2 linked regions of the Pelodiscus sinensis genome follow. The protein of the gene in region 1 interacts with the protein of each later gene in a biochemical or structural test. Links are inferred from orthologs where the notes say so. Each region holds a gene or a part of one and is shown on either strand. Other genes may lie near its edges.

What was found. The genes of interacting proteins can lie anywhere in the genome.
Region 2: the proteins of CFH (region 1) and serum amyloid P-component-like form a complex in vitro, tested with the Homo sapiens proteins (12 studies listed by BioGRID and IntAct, with this or other methods). The link is inferred for Pelodiscus sinensis from reciprocal best matches to the Homo sapiens genes CFH and CRP.

The regions. Positions count from the first base shown.
Region 1 is NC_134719.1:47,251,058-47,258,604, forward strand, and holds the start of CFH (complement factor H), read right to left. Parts: upstream 3,017-7,547; 5' UTR 2,900-3,016; coding exon 2,842-2,899; intron 1-2,841. UniProt on the Homo sapiens protein: Glycoprotein that plays an essential role in maintaining a well-balanced immune response by modulating complement activation.
Region 2 is NC_134734.1:12,777,786-12,785,665, reverse strand, and holds the start of serum amyloid P-component-like, read right to left. Parts: upstream 3,019-7,880; 5' UTR 2,673-3,018; intron 1-2,672. UniProt on the Homo sapiens protein: Displays several functions associated with host defense: it promotes agglutination, bacterial capsular swelling, phagocytosis and complement fixation through its calcium-dependent binding to phosphorylcholine.

The DNA.
Region 1 (7,547 bases):
AAGACTCTCAGGACAGCTGTAGTTGTCCCAGAATGACTGACTCGAGTGATGGGTCAAAGAGTACAGTGAGTATATGTTCATTCTCAGACTGGAGCCAGGGCTCTAATGCCCCACAAGAAGGGCGGATCTCAGAGCCTGAATTTCTACCCATTTTCAGACATCTACAGTGAAATTTTTGTTTTGGATTTAGCTGATGTCACCAATATATTCAGAGCCACATTCCATTTTTTTTTTGAGCGTATTCCTAAAGAATCGGTTTACATCCAGGGAATTTCACTTCATGGTAAATTTATTTTTGCACATTTTGGCATTCATGACTGTATCAATGCCAGCAGAACAATATACATACTTTTGTAGGCAGCTTATATTTTTCTGTTAAGATATGCACCACATTTTAAAGAGAAGTATCATACAAAATAACCTCCATAAGGTAAGGAGGAAAGACATGTAACTGATTCAGAATAAAGTTCTACAGTCTAATATTTGACTCCCAAACTGGTGCAATTCCATTAATGTAAATGGAATTACTTCTAATTTACACTGACAGAAACTGCAGGGAAGGAAGGAATCTAAACTCCAAGTTTATACTTATTGAATGAAATCCTGGATCCTTGAAATTAATGGAAGTTTTGCCCTTGACTTCACTGGGTCTAGGATTTTATCCATCACATTTACCTATTTATAAATCAACGAAGAACTCTATTAACCATGATTTTAAAACAACAAGTTGTCATGTAAAACCTTAGGGCACATCTACACTAGGAAATAGTTTCAAAATAACTTATTGCAAAAGAATAACTCCCGAAATAACTATTTTGAAATAGCATGTCCACATTAAAGGGAAGTCTCCAGATTAGTCCAAAGCAGGCTCCCTTTATATAGATACACTACCTCAATTTAGAGCCCCAGGAAGCACTGAGGAGTAATTACATTGAATGTCTCTGGGGAGCAGTTATTTCGAAATAGCCACAGTGAAGTGTCCACACTACTGCAATTTCAAAATAAGCATTTTTCCTTGTGGATAGCAGGAGTTATTATTTCAAAATAACCAGCTTGTTATTTCAAAATAATGGGCTTGGTAATGTGGATGCTCCACTTGTTATTTCAAAATAAAGGGACTTATTTTGAAATAACTCCCAAATGCAGACCAGGGCTTAGAGATTAGCATATATTGGATCATGAACTTTTCATGGGCAAGACTCACTTCCCTCCAACTCATCCCTTTTTATCCATGAAAGCTCATGATCATATATATATTCGCTAGTCTCTGAGCTGCCATAGGACCACTCATTTTTAAAGTTACAGACTAACACAGCTACCCCTCTGAGACATGATTTTAAAAATATATGTAAAAAAAGCAGAAAATAAATTCTGGGAAGTGCAGACCATTAGCTTTTTTTTAAAAGATACAATCTGTTCTTTGCTAATTGTGTCAATTATATGGATGGCTGACACTTTTGTTTTAAAATCATCTTAGTAAAAGGCTTTGAGACAAATTGTTCTGTCATTTACATTATTGTAGCTCTGGAATCTTTCCACTGTAGAAAACAGATTTACCCCTGATTTGCAACAGTGAATATACAGTAATATCAATCATGCTGGATCTAATGCTGCCTCATTTACATGTCCTTGCAATTACACTTATTTGAGGAATGTTACATAAGTGTAAAAAAGGAGGCCAAATTTCACTCATTTTGGTTCTTTCAAACTTGAATATTACACTGCTTTGAAAACAATTGAGACCTTAGTAAAAAGCGTGTAAATTATTTAAACATTTTAATAAATAATTATGTATTTTAAATTAAAATAGCAATAGCTACAAATTAATATTTCCTATTAACTTTCCAGTTAAATTTCTATCTGTGCCACTGAAATATTCTGAAAGAGAAAAGGGTATCTGAAAAATATTTAGGCCCAATCCTGCAGTCTTTACCCAGCTGTTAGGGCCCACACGTAGTGACTGAAATTGCTTAGATGAGTAAAGGCTTTGGACTGGGTAAGTAATTTGTAATTAAAAATAAAAAGTGATCATTGAGATAGGGCATGGCAAGTACAGGTACAGCTGCCCCTAGAAGGCATACTAAATATTAAACTATTATACAAACTAATTAGACAATATATAAACCCTCTACCATTACATAGGAAACTATTTGACAATTTTAAAAAAGATAGTTTGTTGGCCTTACGGCATAAGAAACTGATCTGTTGTTACAGCAAATGTCAAGAGGGCTGTTGAAGAAATACAGGGAGTGCGCAACTAGCACCTAAAGAATAAACAACTTTTTATACATAAACTTCTATGGATAAGAAGTTTATTTCCCTAATATCAAGTAATACACTCAGTATTTTTAATAAGCCTTTTGAAAACACTTATTCCCATCAATACAATAACTTGTATAAATACAATAAAATCCCCTCACTGAAAGACCTTTTTACAACACATACACACACACACATTTTAAATTATTCATTCTACAGGTGATTTTTATTCATATTTATTAGAAGTTAGCTTTCAACAATTACAAAATATATTAACATAGTCAGAGGACATATAAAATGGACTTCTCGGCTGTAGTTTCTATACACAGTAATAATTAGAAAAGCCTGGGCACAAGAAGCAAAATGTAGCTAAAGGCAGACTTGACATCACACTTAGTATAAGATACTTCATACTAGGTATTGCAACACAGTGAGAATTAGTTTTTCCTCTGAGATACTACTGAAAAAAGCTATAATCAAAGTTTTATTTATATTTATAAAATATTTTAGTGGCCACTTGTCTGAGACTATCCCCTAATGTAGTAGTAGGAGGAAACAGATCAATCTTTTTAATAACCTTACCTTTTTGTGCAGTAGATGTCCATACCAGGAGCAAAACAGTATATCCCAGCAATATCATCTCAGTGCCTCAGAGGCAAACCAGACACATTTACAATGATAAGTGGTTCTTTCTGTTGGCCTGGAGTGTCTCACACTAACTGTTCCTGGAGCTGACCTTGCAAAGATTTTATTCTCTGACTTCAGCAACACTTCCCTAATCTTCTTGCAACACACAATAGTCTCTTTCTTTCTACACACATACATTATGCAATCTTTGCAGAAAAAAAGAGCCTTGTTTGTATTAGTTGGCTCTGTCCTTTCAGAGTTCTGTTTGCTTTTTACTACCCACTTCATAGCTAAGAGTCATCACCATTCCTCCTACTTCACAGAAAATCAAATAAAAATAAAGTTCCTGAAATTAATCTAAAGTTTATTTTACAATGATCTTTTCTTTGTGTTTTATATAATTAATTTGTTAAATGCATTTTGTGTATTGTAATAGGAACTAAGGTCTGATTCACAGAAGTCAAGGACAAAACTTTCACTAAATCACACTGAAAGTAGGATCAGGTACCAACAGTCACATTGCAACCCCTAGCAATTACACTGAGGTCATTCTAAACCTCTAAGAAATATAGTATTAGATCCTTGCAGAAACAGCTATATGGAGGGGAAATAGAATGAACAAAAAGAGATGGTGAAAAAGATCCAGTTCAGTAATTTTGTGGAAAGTAGAGAATTCTCAGGGATTGTGTTACTACTGCACATCCAGTAACAAAAGGCAGAGTAATTTCATCAGCAGTGCAAACAGGATAGCATGTGATGTCAGTTGTTGACAGGAGAGATCTAGAGCAGGTGGAATTGACTAAGGATATGTCTACACTACAGCACTAATTCAAACTAACTTAATTCAAATTAGTTAATTTGAACTAAGCTAATGCGAATTAGTGCATCTAGACCTAAAAACTAATTCGAATTAGCATTTTGCTAATTCGAAATAGCATGTCCACATTGAGTGGACCCTGAACCGAAGTTAAGGCTGCCTCAGGCTACCCGAGGGCTGTTCTTAAAGGGACCAGACCCCCACCCCAGACAGACAGTTTTCAGGGTCCCTGCCTGCAGGTCTACCTTGATGAGGGACAGCAAAGCAGTCCTGTCTTGGAGTGCCCTGAGTGCCTACACTCGGCACATCGCAGCACTCGGCCGTCAGCCTGGCTACACTTGCTGCAGACTGCCATCTGGGGGGAGTCAATCGGGGAGCTGTCAGGATCCAGGAGGCCCTGCAGGAGAGCTTCTACCCCGAGGAGCCCGCAGAGCCCAGGTCCTCCCCATCGGGGGCTCGTGCCCCATTCCTCCCTCACCTCCTTCCACTTACCCCTCCCTAGCGCCCTTTCCTGATGTAAAAAATAAAGGACACGTGTGGTCAAAAATGGAAACTCTCTTTGGAAAAGGTTCAGAAAAGGGCAACTAAAATGATTAGGGGTTTGGAACAGGTCCCATATGAAGAGAAGCTAATGAGACTGGGACTTTTCAGCTTAGAAAAGAGGAGACAGAGGGGGGATATGATAGAGGTCTATAAAATCATGAGTGGTGTGGAGAGGGTGCATAAAGAAAAGTTCTTCATTAGTTCCCATAATAGAAGGACTAGAGGACACCAAATGAAATGAACGGGTAGCAGGCTTCAAACTAATAACAGAAAGTTCTTCTTCACAAAGCAAATAGTAAACCTGTGGAACTCCTTGCTGCAGGAGGCTGTGAAGGCTAGAACTAGAACAGAGTTTAAAGAGAAGTGAGATAAAGTCATGGAGGTTGGGTCCAAGGAGTGGTATTAGCCAGGGGGTAGAAATGGTGTCCCTAGCCTCTGTTTGTGGAAGGCTGGAGATGGATGGCATGAGACAAATGGCATGGTCATTGTCTTCGGTCCATTCCCTCTGTGGTACCTGGTGTTTGCCGCAGTCGTCAAAAGGTCTGACCCAGTATGGCTGTTCTTATGGTCTTATGTTCTAAGCTCAGGGCTCAGGGTTGGGGGTCTCGCTGGACCAACTTGATTTTCATGCAAACCTGCTCCTGGGTTCGCCTGTGGCCTTTGGTGGCCAGGCTGGCAGCTATCCTGCCCTAGACAGCCCCTTTCCTGTGCCTAGTGCGGAGACGGTGGACGCTGGAGGTCTCAACCCAAACCTGGATGAGGTACACGATCTCCTCACTAGACCAGGTGGGTGCCCACCTCTTGCGACCCCGGGCAGGCTCCTGGGAACTGTCAGCCTGGTCCTGGGAAGAGGCGGAGGGCTGGGTGACAGCAGGTGGCTGGCTCATGCCGTACCAGATGCAGGGTCTGCTGGCTGGGTGCTGGCTGGCTTGCACCTGGCACGGGCACTGTAGCCAGACCGTGCCCCTTTAACGCCTCCGGTGCTGGGAGGGGGACAGAAGAGTTTCCCTGGTTTGGCCCAGAGTGGCCACCAGGGCAACCTGGGAAGGGCTAGCCTCCAACTATTTCGAATTAAGTGGCTACACAGCCCTTAATTCAAACTACTTAATTCGAACTAGGCATTAGTCCTCCTAGAATGAGGTTTAGCTAGTTTGAATTAAGTGCTCCACTAGTTCAAATTAAGTTCAAACTAGCGGTTTGCATGTGTAGCGCCTATGAAAGTTAATTCGAACTAACGGCTGTTAGTTCGAAGTAACTTTATAGTGTAGACATAACCTAATTTAGCCTGCATGTGATCACATTCAGACCTGTACTTGCTGCAGTCTGCCACTGTTGCCTTTTGATCTTCATACTAACAACAGACCATACCAAATCTGGACCCTACCAGTGTTCCCTCTAAGCTATGTAGCAGCACAGCTTCACAGGTGTTTAATCAGCCCTGCCCATACAGAGGCTCAGGGCTCCTTGCATCGTGCTGACTGACTGGGAGGGGATGATTAATCACCTGTGAAGCTGTGCAGCTTAAAGGGAACACTGCCCTGCACCCCTATTCCCTATCCTAGGTCACAACCCAAACCTCTGCACCTCTACCCTCCCTGACCCTGCATCCTATTTTGCTTCCTCAGGTCACAATCCCCACCTTCACCCAAACTCCCTCCCAGATAACACACCCCAATGCCTTACCCCAAGCTCCCTTCTGCACCCAAACTGCATCCCAGACCCGTGCACCTCCTCCATTAGTATAATGGAAGAGTGCAGCCCTCAACCACTTATCAAATTCTTGGAGTGACCTCCCCTCCCCAAAAATATTGCCCACCCCTGGTTTATGTGAAAAAATAGCAGTAAAACATTCTGTATACTTTTAATTACATTTAGTAATAGTTAATATGGAATATGGCCCACAGCGTACAGATAGTTCGGACTAGCAAGCTATTCCGAACTATCTAGCCCGTGCCGCGTGTAGCCGCGCGGCACGGGGTTCGCACTAGCCGGCTTTTAAAAATGGCGGCGCCGTCTTTATGCTAATGAAGCCCGGGAAATTCAAATCCCAGGCTTCATTAGCAAGTTCGGTATGCATACATTACCCCCCTAGTTCGAAGTAGGGGGGTAGTGTAGACATACCCTCAAGGTTGAAACAAACCCATACTGTTGCTTTTTCATACTGTTGCTTTTTCATGGCATTCGTGCCTTAATATATCATGTGTGGGACCTGACACTCCTCTGTTCCTTCTATATCTCTGAGTGGAAGATGTAGAGGAGAGGAGTGTGAGTTGTGTAGCATCCACAGGGTCACACATCTTGAAGAATCATCATTACTGTACAAGATCAGTAACTTCTTCAAGTAGTGTCCCTGTGGATACTCCACTGTAGGTGACTACCAAACAGTACTCCACATGGAAGGTGTGATTTATAGTCACATGTTGAGAACAGAGGATAACATTGTTAGGCCCATGGCTGTGTTGGGAATGGGCCCAGAAGTGATTGCATAGTGTTTTGCAAAGGTGTGTTCTGATGGCCATATAGATGTCTGGCAGATGTCATGCAAGATAACGAGAGAAAAGTAATCGAGGTTTCCATGGCTTGGGTGGAATGATGTCTTAAACCCATGGGAAATACACTCTCTGAAATATAGTATCACATGTGTATGCATGTGGAGGTCCACTTGGAAAATTGTTGTGTGTCCCTTTGAGTATTCCGCTATGGAGACAAATAGCCACTGTGAGTTGTGTCTATATAGAATGCTACTGCTTGTCGTACATCCATAATGTACAAGATCATTTCTTGCTGGTCCTTGTGGGGTTTGATGTAGAACATTGGTAAAATGATCCCCTGGTTAATGTGAAAGGTGATAGCTACATTTGGGGTGTGTCTAGACTACATGCCTCCTTCGACGGAGGCATGTAGATTAGCCAGATCGGAAGAGGGAAATGAAGCCGCGATTAAAATAATCGCGGCTTCATTTAAATTTAAATGGCTGCCCCGATCTGCCGATCAGCTGTTTGTCGGCAGATCGGGGCAGTCTGGACGCGACGCGCCGACAAAGAAGCCTTTCTTCATCGGCACAGGTAAGCCTCGTGAAACCAGGTTTACCTGTGCCGATGAAGAAAGGCTTCTTTGTCGGCGCATCGCGTCCAGACTGCCCCGATCTGCCGACAAACAGCTGATCGGCAGATCGGGGCAGCCATTTAAATTTAAATGAAGCCGCGATTATTTTAATCGCGGCTTCATTTCCCTCTTCCGATCTGGCTAATCTACATGCCTCTGTCGAAGGAGGCATGTAGTCTAGACACACCCTTGGTAA
Region 2 (7,880 bases), on another chromosome or scaffold:
AGATCATGCCAGTCTAGACGCAGCCCCTGTGTCTAAATAAACCATTCAAGACAGATGGCTCTCCAGCCTGCTTTTGAAAACCTCCAGAGAAGACACTTCTGCAACCTCCCTAGGCAGCCTGCTCCATTTTCCTACTGTTCTTATTGTTCACAAGTTTCTCATTTCTTTTCATCTCAATCTACCACGCTGTCGTTTGGACCCATTGCCTCTTGTCCTGCCCTCTATGGCAAGAGAGAACTTTTCTCTATTTGTTGTATGGCAGCCTTTTAAGTATCAAGAGACGGCTGTCATATCTCCCCTTAATCTCCTCTTTTCCAAACTAAGCATACCCTATTCCTCCGGCCTTTGCTCAGATGGCTGCGCTCCAGCCCTTTGATCAGCCTCGTCGCTCGCCTCTGGGATCCTTTCCAGTTTCTTCACATCCTTTCTATACATTAGGGACTGAAACAGGACACAATACTCCAGCAGAGGCCAAGCCACGGCTGACTAGAGCGTCACTTGTACCACCTGTAACTTCCCTATGCCTCTGTTAATACAACCGAAAACTGCACAGGCTTTTTTTGCAACAGCAGCATCCTGCAGCTGACTCACTTTGAGGTTATGATCGGCTCCAACTCCCAGATTCTTTTCTGCTGTGCTGCTGCCAATCCAGTTCTCCCCTCTGGCTGCATTTGGTTTTTCCTCCTTAAGCATAGCACTTTATGTTTATCTTTGTGGAATTTCATGTTGTTGTCTATAGCCCAGCTCGACAATTTACCAAGAGCCCTTTGAATTTTAACTCTGTCCTTTGTGTCATCTGCAAATTTAATCAGTGTGTATCTACACAGCAGCATTATCATATCATATCATATCTATAGTAGCCCAGTGTCTGTGAGTCTGTAATGCTGATGTACACGGCCACGCCCCCTGGCCGTGTGTGTTAGCGCCCCGCCCCCCTTCCCCTCCCTCCGAGGTGGCTCGGCTGAGCGCTGCGCCGCTCAGCTGGGCCTCGGCGGGGGAGCTCGGACCCCAAACGGCCGCTTGCCGCCAGCGGCTGCACTCCCCCATCCAGGTCTGCTTCCTGCCCCCCTTCCTCTGTCCCCCCTCCTCCGATCCAGCCTCATGGCCCCACCCCTGCTTCGCCTCCCGCCGTGGCACTCGGCTGACTTCTGCGCTGCTCAGCCAGACTGCCATGTGGGAGCATGCAGCACGGGGAGTGCGTAGCCCAAATGGCCATTTGGGCTCCGAGGTCCCCTGAGTGAGAGGCAGGAGGGGGAGGAGAAGTGAAAGAGAGAGACAGAGAGAGAGGCAGGAGGGGAAGGAGAGCTGAGGGGGGGAGAGACAGAGGGGAGAGAAGAGAAAGGGAGAGTGAGAGGCAGGAGGGGGAGAAGAGAAAGAGAGAGACGGAGAGAGAGGCAGGAAGTGGAGGAGAGCTGAGGGGGGGGGCAGTAGGAGGAGAGAGAGAGAGAACGAGAAAGAGAGAGACAGAGCAAGAGACTGGAGGCTCAGGAGAGAAGACTGACGTGGAGGAGAGACCTGAAAATCCCGTCTTATGACGGGCTAATTGGCTAGTTTTGGAATAATGGCCATTCTTCCAAAATAGCCATGTGAGCATCTACACAGCAATTCCGTTATTTTGAAATACATTTGAAATAACGGACAGCTTATTCCGACATCTGTAAACCTCATTCCATCAGTAATAACACCTGTCCCGAAACAGCTACTTCAGAATAGCAGTAGTGTGGATGCTCCACTGCTGCTATTTCAAAATAGCTCCATCCCAGGGCCATTCTAAGTAATTACTCCCCAGTGCCTCCTGGGGCTCTAAATCAAGGTAGCACATCCAGATTAGGGGAGCCTCTTTGGACTAATTTTGAGGTTTCTCTGTAGCGTAGACAGGCTATTTTGAAATAAGCTATTTTGGAGTATTTCCTCCAGAATAGCTTATTTTGAAATAAGCGTGCAGTGTAGATTTACCCTAGGCCTACATCCAGGTCATAAATAAAGATGTTAAATAACACTGGATCCAGAACAGATCCCCGGGGAACTCCACCTGAGACCTTCTTCAAATCCAGCATTTTTCCGTTCATACTCTCTATTTGCCCTTGTTTAATCAATTATGTACCTATTTAATGGTAGTTCTACCGAGTCCACATTTCTCCAGCTTACTTATGAGAATGTCATGTGAGACTGTGTCAAAAGACTTGCTAATGTCCAGGTATGTTTTGTTCACCACATTTTCCCAGTCCACCAAACCAGTTACCCTACCAAAGAAAGAAATCAAGTGTGACCACGTCGGGGGGTGCGATCACCCCCTCCCACTCAAGAGGAGAGTTCGGCGAACCCTGTCGATGGATTCTGGTCCGTTGGTTCCGGAGCCTAGTCCAGCTCAGAGTCTTTGAGTGCAATCACCCCGCTCAGCCGAACCCAGGTGTTGCCTGTCCCTCTGTGCGGGGCTTTGTCCGCCCCGCGATCCCAATGGTGGCGGGAGAGGAGGGGGACCCGGGCCCACCCTCTCCACCGGGTCCCAGCCCGGGGCCCTAAGCACAGGGGTCTGCTTGCTCCCTGTGTGGTAGACGTGGGATGCCCTCCCGAAACACATCCACTCACGGGCACCAAAAGGGCCCTGCCCCGGGCTGCTTCCTCCCCCCCACAGATCCCGTTGCCCTTCCCGTGGGGTCCTCGCAGCTTACCGTGACTCGGTCACCCGGCAAAGGAGGAGTCCGCCCTCTGTAGTGGGGTCCAGGCCCATCGGTAGCCCACGGTTGTGAGAGTCTTCGACCCCCCCGTCTCCGGGGGTCTGCGTCGGGGCTCTGGGCTTCCCGGGGGAGACGTTACCCCACGCCCAGCTCCGAGCCCTTCGGGAGCCGGTCCCAGTGACTGCCCTCTTCTGCGGAGCACCTGGAGCCACTGTCAGCAGACAGGATCCTGGGCTAGATGGACCTTTGGTCTGACCCAGTGTGGCCGTTCTTATATTCTTAGCTTGCCAGATATCCAAGTCAGGCTGACTGTTCCCCAGATCCATTATAGTAGTAATGTAGCAATAATATAGCAATATAAGGCATATATATATATATATATTAATAAACATTTAATATTTTACAAATTAAGTCCTTTCAGTTGAAGGTCTATTTTCTTTGTTCTGAAGTTTAGTAAATGTTCTAAGGTAGAAAGACTGTTTTGGATATTGTGGCTATGTTAATGAGATTAGAGGAATTCTGCTAATGTTGAAGGCCAAGCCTTAATTGTTTAATTTACAATGCTTTTGTTTTGCCATGAAGATCTGTAACCTTGGAAAGTTTTTGTTTATGAAAGGGAATGTGAATGTGTCAAGATAAGCTGAAAAGTTATATGGCTTTAGAACCAGATGGCCGAAGAAGGGGAGTAAGTGAGCATGGGCAAGGCCAGAGCACGAGACAACCTGGCTGCAGAGAAGCCATCTATAACCATCGGTGTATACAAGAAGATTGAATAATTGGCAGATTGCTGACCTTAAAGCGGAGCAAGCTCCCTGAAAGGAAGATTGATTATAGGATGAACCTTAGAGAGAGGTTTGGGAATGATTGACATCAACAAGGTAACATTCCGGTCACAAGCTGTCAGAGCGGTATCCATGGATTTCAACAAGAGAAAAAAATTATAAAAGCAAGGTGCTTTGCTATGGAACGTTGGATTCACCTTGCCAACACCAAATCCAGAGGAGCATCGGATCGATCGACTGACAAAGGCCCTGCTTCCCCCTGTGTTCAATCTTGCTGGCCACTAGATGGATACGGACTCTGGACTGGTAACTATGACATCGTCTGGCAAGATTGTGTGTGTGTGTGTGTGTGTGTGTGTGTGTGTGTATATGTTTGTGTGTGAGTGATTGAAAAGCATATGCAATGGTTGTATTCTCAATAAATGTGGCATATTGCCTTTTCCCCCATAAAAGATCTCGTGTGCTTCGTTTAAGCATAACTTTTCCAGAGGCTAAAGCGGGTCATAGGGCCACATGGGTTTGGCCTGGCTGCACCTGGGGATACAGGGGTAAAATCTGAGTGGCTTGGTAACCCCACATGCCAGGTCCTAAAGCCACTGGGTTTTTGGGGGCTTCAAACTGCCTCAGACAAACTGCCCCTTAACCAGGAAAAGGCACTTGGGGGAGGGGGAGGGAGCAAAGTGGGACAGTCCCACAACACCCCAGGATGGGGGAGAGCGCTGACAGCCAGAAGCAGCATCCAGGGCAGGGCTCTGAGGGTACGTCTACGCTGCATCATTAGCAGTGCTCTTTAGTATTTCTCACACTGTCATTTGCATAATCTCTTCTGATCCATTTTGTGGAAGATCCTGTATATCTCCTTTTTTGAGGAATAAGGGTTCTTGAGCAAAAGGGGATTTTTTTTGTGCAAAATGGGCCCATCTACACTGCGTATTTTTCCACAAAAACCTCTTCTGCAAAAAGGATAGGGAGAGACTGTGCAAATGACAACGCGAGAAATGCTAATGAGCACTTCATTCGCATTTCCTCTGCTGACAAAATGATGCAGCGTAGACGTAGCCTCGTTGTTAACAGCCTGATCTCAAAAATGATGAAACATACCCCAGGATGTGCAGGTCCTCAGTAGCCCCTTGTGGAGACCCCCTGCTCTGTCTTTCTCAGGGGGTGGAGGGACATGCCAGCCATTTCCAGGTGCACAATTACCACAATTACCTGTCCCTGTCCCAGTCCTCCCACCTCCCCCCACCCATGCAGCTGTGCCCCAGACCAGCCCTCCTAGCCCCGCACTTCCCTTTACTCGGGGATCATCCCTGAAATGAAAAGTTTGCATGTGGGTGACTCAAAAGTAGGTTGAAAAGCTGGACCACTGGCCATGCACCTGTCAGTGGCTAAAGAGTCCAGTTGCTGACCAGAGCTAATTAGTCCACACCCATGGATGAACGGACAGCCAGATGGATGGTATAGTTTTATATTATCTTACCATTTTTCATACCTTACCTCAACACAGTCCAGCTATGGAGATGTGCATTGTAGAGTGCTCTGATATGTCACAAGTGCACAAGGAAGGCACATTAAATCTAACCAGCAAGGCAGTACAAAAACCAGCCAGTGAGCCAGGTGGCAACCCAAGGAGTAAACTGTGTAACCGTACAGCAGGGGTGGAGAACCTCAGGCCCCAGGGGCCACATTCGGACCCCAGCTTGCCCAGATATGGCTCCCCACAGCTCAGGGGCCTCCCCAGCATTGGGAAGCCTGCACAGGCACTCCAGCCTCCTCACTGCCCCACCTCAGGGCGGGAGCACACAAAATCGACTAGGCTGAGTCCCCCTAGACTCTGGTGTGGAAGGGGAATGTGAGGAGTGTCTTTCTCCTTCCCAGATGGGGACACATCAGTTAGGGTTTTAAACAAAAAACAAACAAAAAAAACTTTTCACTTGTGTGCTGCCCTTGACATTTTTCTATCGGTCAATGGCCTCCGACCCAAAAAAAGTTCCCCATCCCTGCCTTCGAGTCACAGGAAAGGCCGGGCACAGCTTGCAACACAAGTAGTTAGGGTGGCAAGTTGTGTCAGAAATGGTAGATGGACACAGAGTGACCAGGTGCCCTGATTTTAGAGACTTTGTCTTACATACACAGCTATATCCCCACCCCTGGAAAAAAAAAGTCCTGATTTTTCTTGTTTGCTAACTGGTCACCTGAGATAGGGTTGTGATGGGCTGTGCCACTGGGGTGCAACGTGGTACTGGGGTACTGCTGAGCTTTGTGATTCACCACCCAGATGCCCTCTCACACTGTGCTGCACTGACAAGCTGCAGACAGCTCTTGGTCCTGCTTTACACAGGTAGGGACACACCCAGCTATGGTTAGTTGCACAAAAGTTCTTCCCCCAGGTCCAAAGCCTATGACCCCAGAGCGGTACCGTCTTGCCCTGGCCAAAAATCTGACAAGTGAAGATTATTACTCAGTCCGCCCCTCCCTCAATGTGGAGAGGACAATGCACTAGCCCCATTTGCACTTCCAGTAAAACAAACATTTGTCTATAAAAATATAAAACAGAGTTATTAATTATGGAAAGAGAGATTTTAAGTGATTGGTGGTGGGTGTAGGTACCAGAGCAGATTAACTAAGAAATAAACAAAAATACTGTCTAAGCCTAGATAGGATCTGAATCAAGATCTATATCTAGATAGGGTCTGAATAAAAATCTGGATCTAGAATAGTGTCTGAATCAAGATCTAGATAGGGTTTGAATCAAGCAGGGTCTCACCCTGTCAGATAGTACAGTCTACCAGGCTTCCAAGCATAATCAGGCTTCCTTCTTTCCTGCTTGGAACATTCTTCCCCAGTTTTGTCTTTGTTCCTCAGGTGTTTTCAGGTATGATGTAGGGGGAGTATGGTCCCATGGTGATGTCACTCCCCCTTTTTATAGCTCCTTCCATGTGGAGGGAACTTCTTTGTTTCAAGCCAAGTCCCCAAATCAGTTTGTGGAAAAGTACATGCATTAAAATGGAGTAGAGGATCACATGGTCTAGTCACATGCCCTTGCATGCTTTGAGTCATGGCAGCATTCTCCATATGCGGGCCGAAGCATCCGCTAGTGAGGATACATTTTTCCCCTGGCCCATTGTTTACTTGATGGCTCATTACCTTGAATATTCCCTTCACAACACATTAGCTAGGCTGGATGTAAATTGAGTTGTGGGAGTTACCCAGGAGCAAACACATTGGAAATGTAGATGCACAGTTAATATTCATAACTTCAGAAACTAAAATGCTATATGCATACAAACAGGATAATCCTATTTAGGAAATCATAACATTTCCATTGACACCTGACCTGACATATTTTGCATAAGATGTGTCATAATTATGTCGTAATCTTGTCACTATGGCACATATAGGGTACAGCTACACAACAACATTATTTTGAAATAATTAGCATTATTGCAAAATAACTTAGTCTGTGTCTACACAGCAGGCAGTTATTTCGAAATAATGTCAAAATCCTGTCAAGCTGGAGGACTTCTTATTCTGACTCCTGTAACCCTCATTGTACGAGGAGTAAGGGAAGTCAGAGGAAGAGAGCTCTATTTTGAAATAAGTGCTGTGTAGTCACTTCCTATTTTGAAATAAGCTACACAATTGATATAGCTCAATTTGCGTAGTTTATTTCAAGTTAAGCCCTGCTGTGTAGATGCACCCATAGGCTATGTCTAGACTACACTGCATTTTTCGAAAGAGGATGTTCAAATTCCCGTGGAATTTGCATATCTTCTTCTGATCTCACTTTCGAAAGCAGGTCTTTCGAAAGTGAAAGTAGTCTGGATGTGGGTTTTTTCAGACCGCCCGCCCCCCCCCTTTTTGAAAAACTGCTCTTCCTTAAAAAATGAGGTTTACACATTTTTCAAAAAGGGGGGGGGGTTCTGAAAAAATGCATCCAGACTACTTTCGCTTTCAAAAGACCCACTTTTGAAAGTGAGATTGGAAGAAGATATGTAAATTCCCTCGGAATTTGAATGTCCTCTTTCGAAAATGCAGCATAGTCTAGACATACCCAAAGAGTGCAGAATATCACAGGGGTGATCGGCCAGTGAGCAAGACAGATGGAGGTGATGGGTCAGAAGACCCCACCTGCTATACCTGCAAGTCTACTGTGTAACTCATCCATCACCCTGTCCTCTTCCCCCATGTAATGTACCAGCTGTCCCACTCCCCTGTGTAATGGGCTCCCTCATTCCCATCTCCTGGGTAATGTGGCACCTTACCACCCCTCCCCTGTCCTCCTCCCACCCGGTGATACCAAGAACAGATGAAATGGGAAGGACTGGGCAATACTTTACTTGAAAGGAAATCTGATCAGGAAGTCATAGGAGAAGAAGTTCTTCCATTTGATAAGGAAATTCTCTGAAGTCCAGAGATA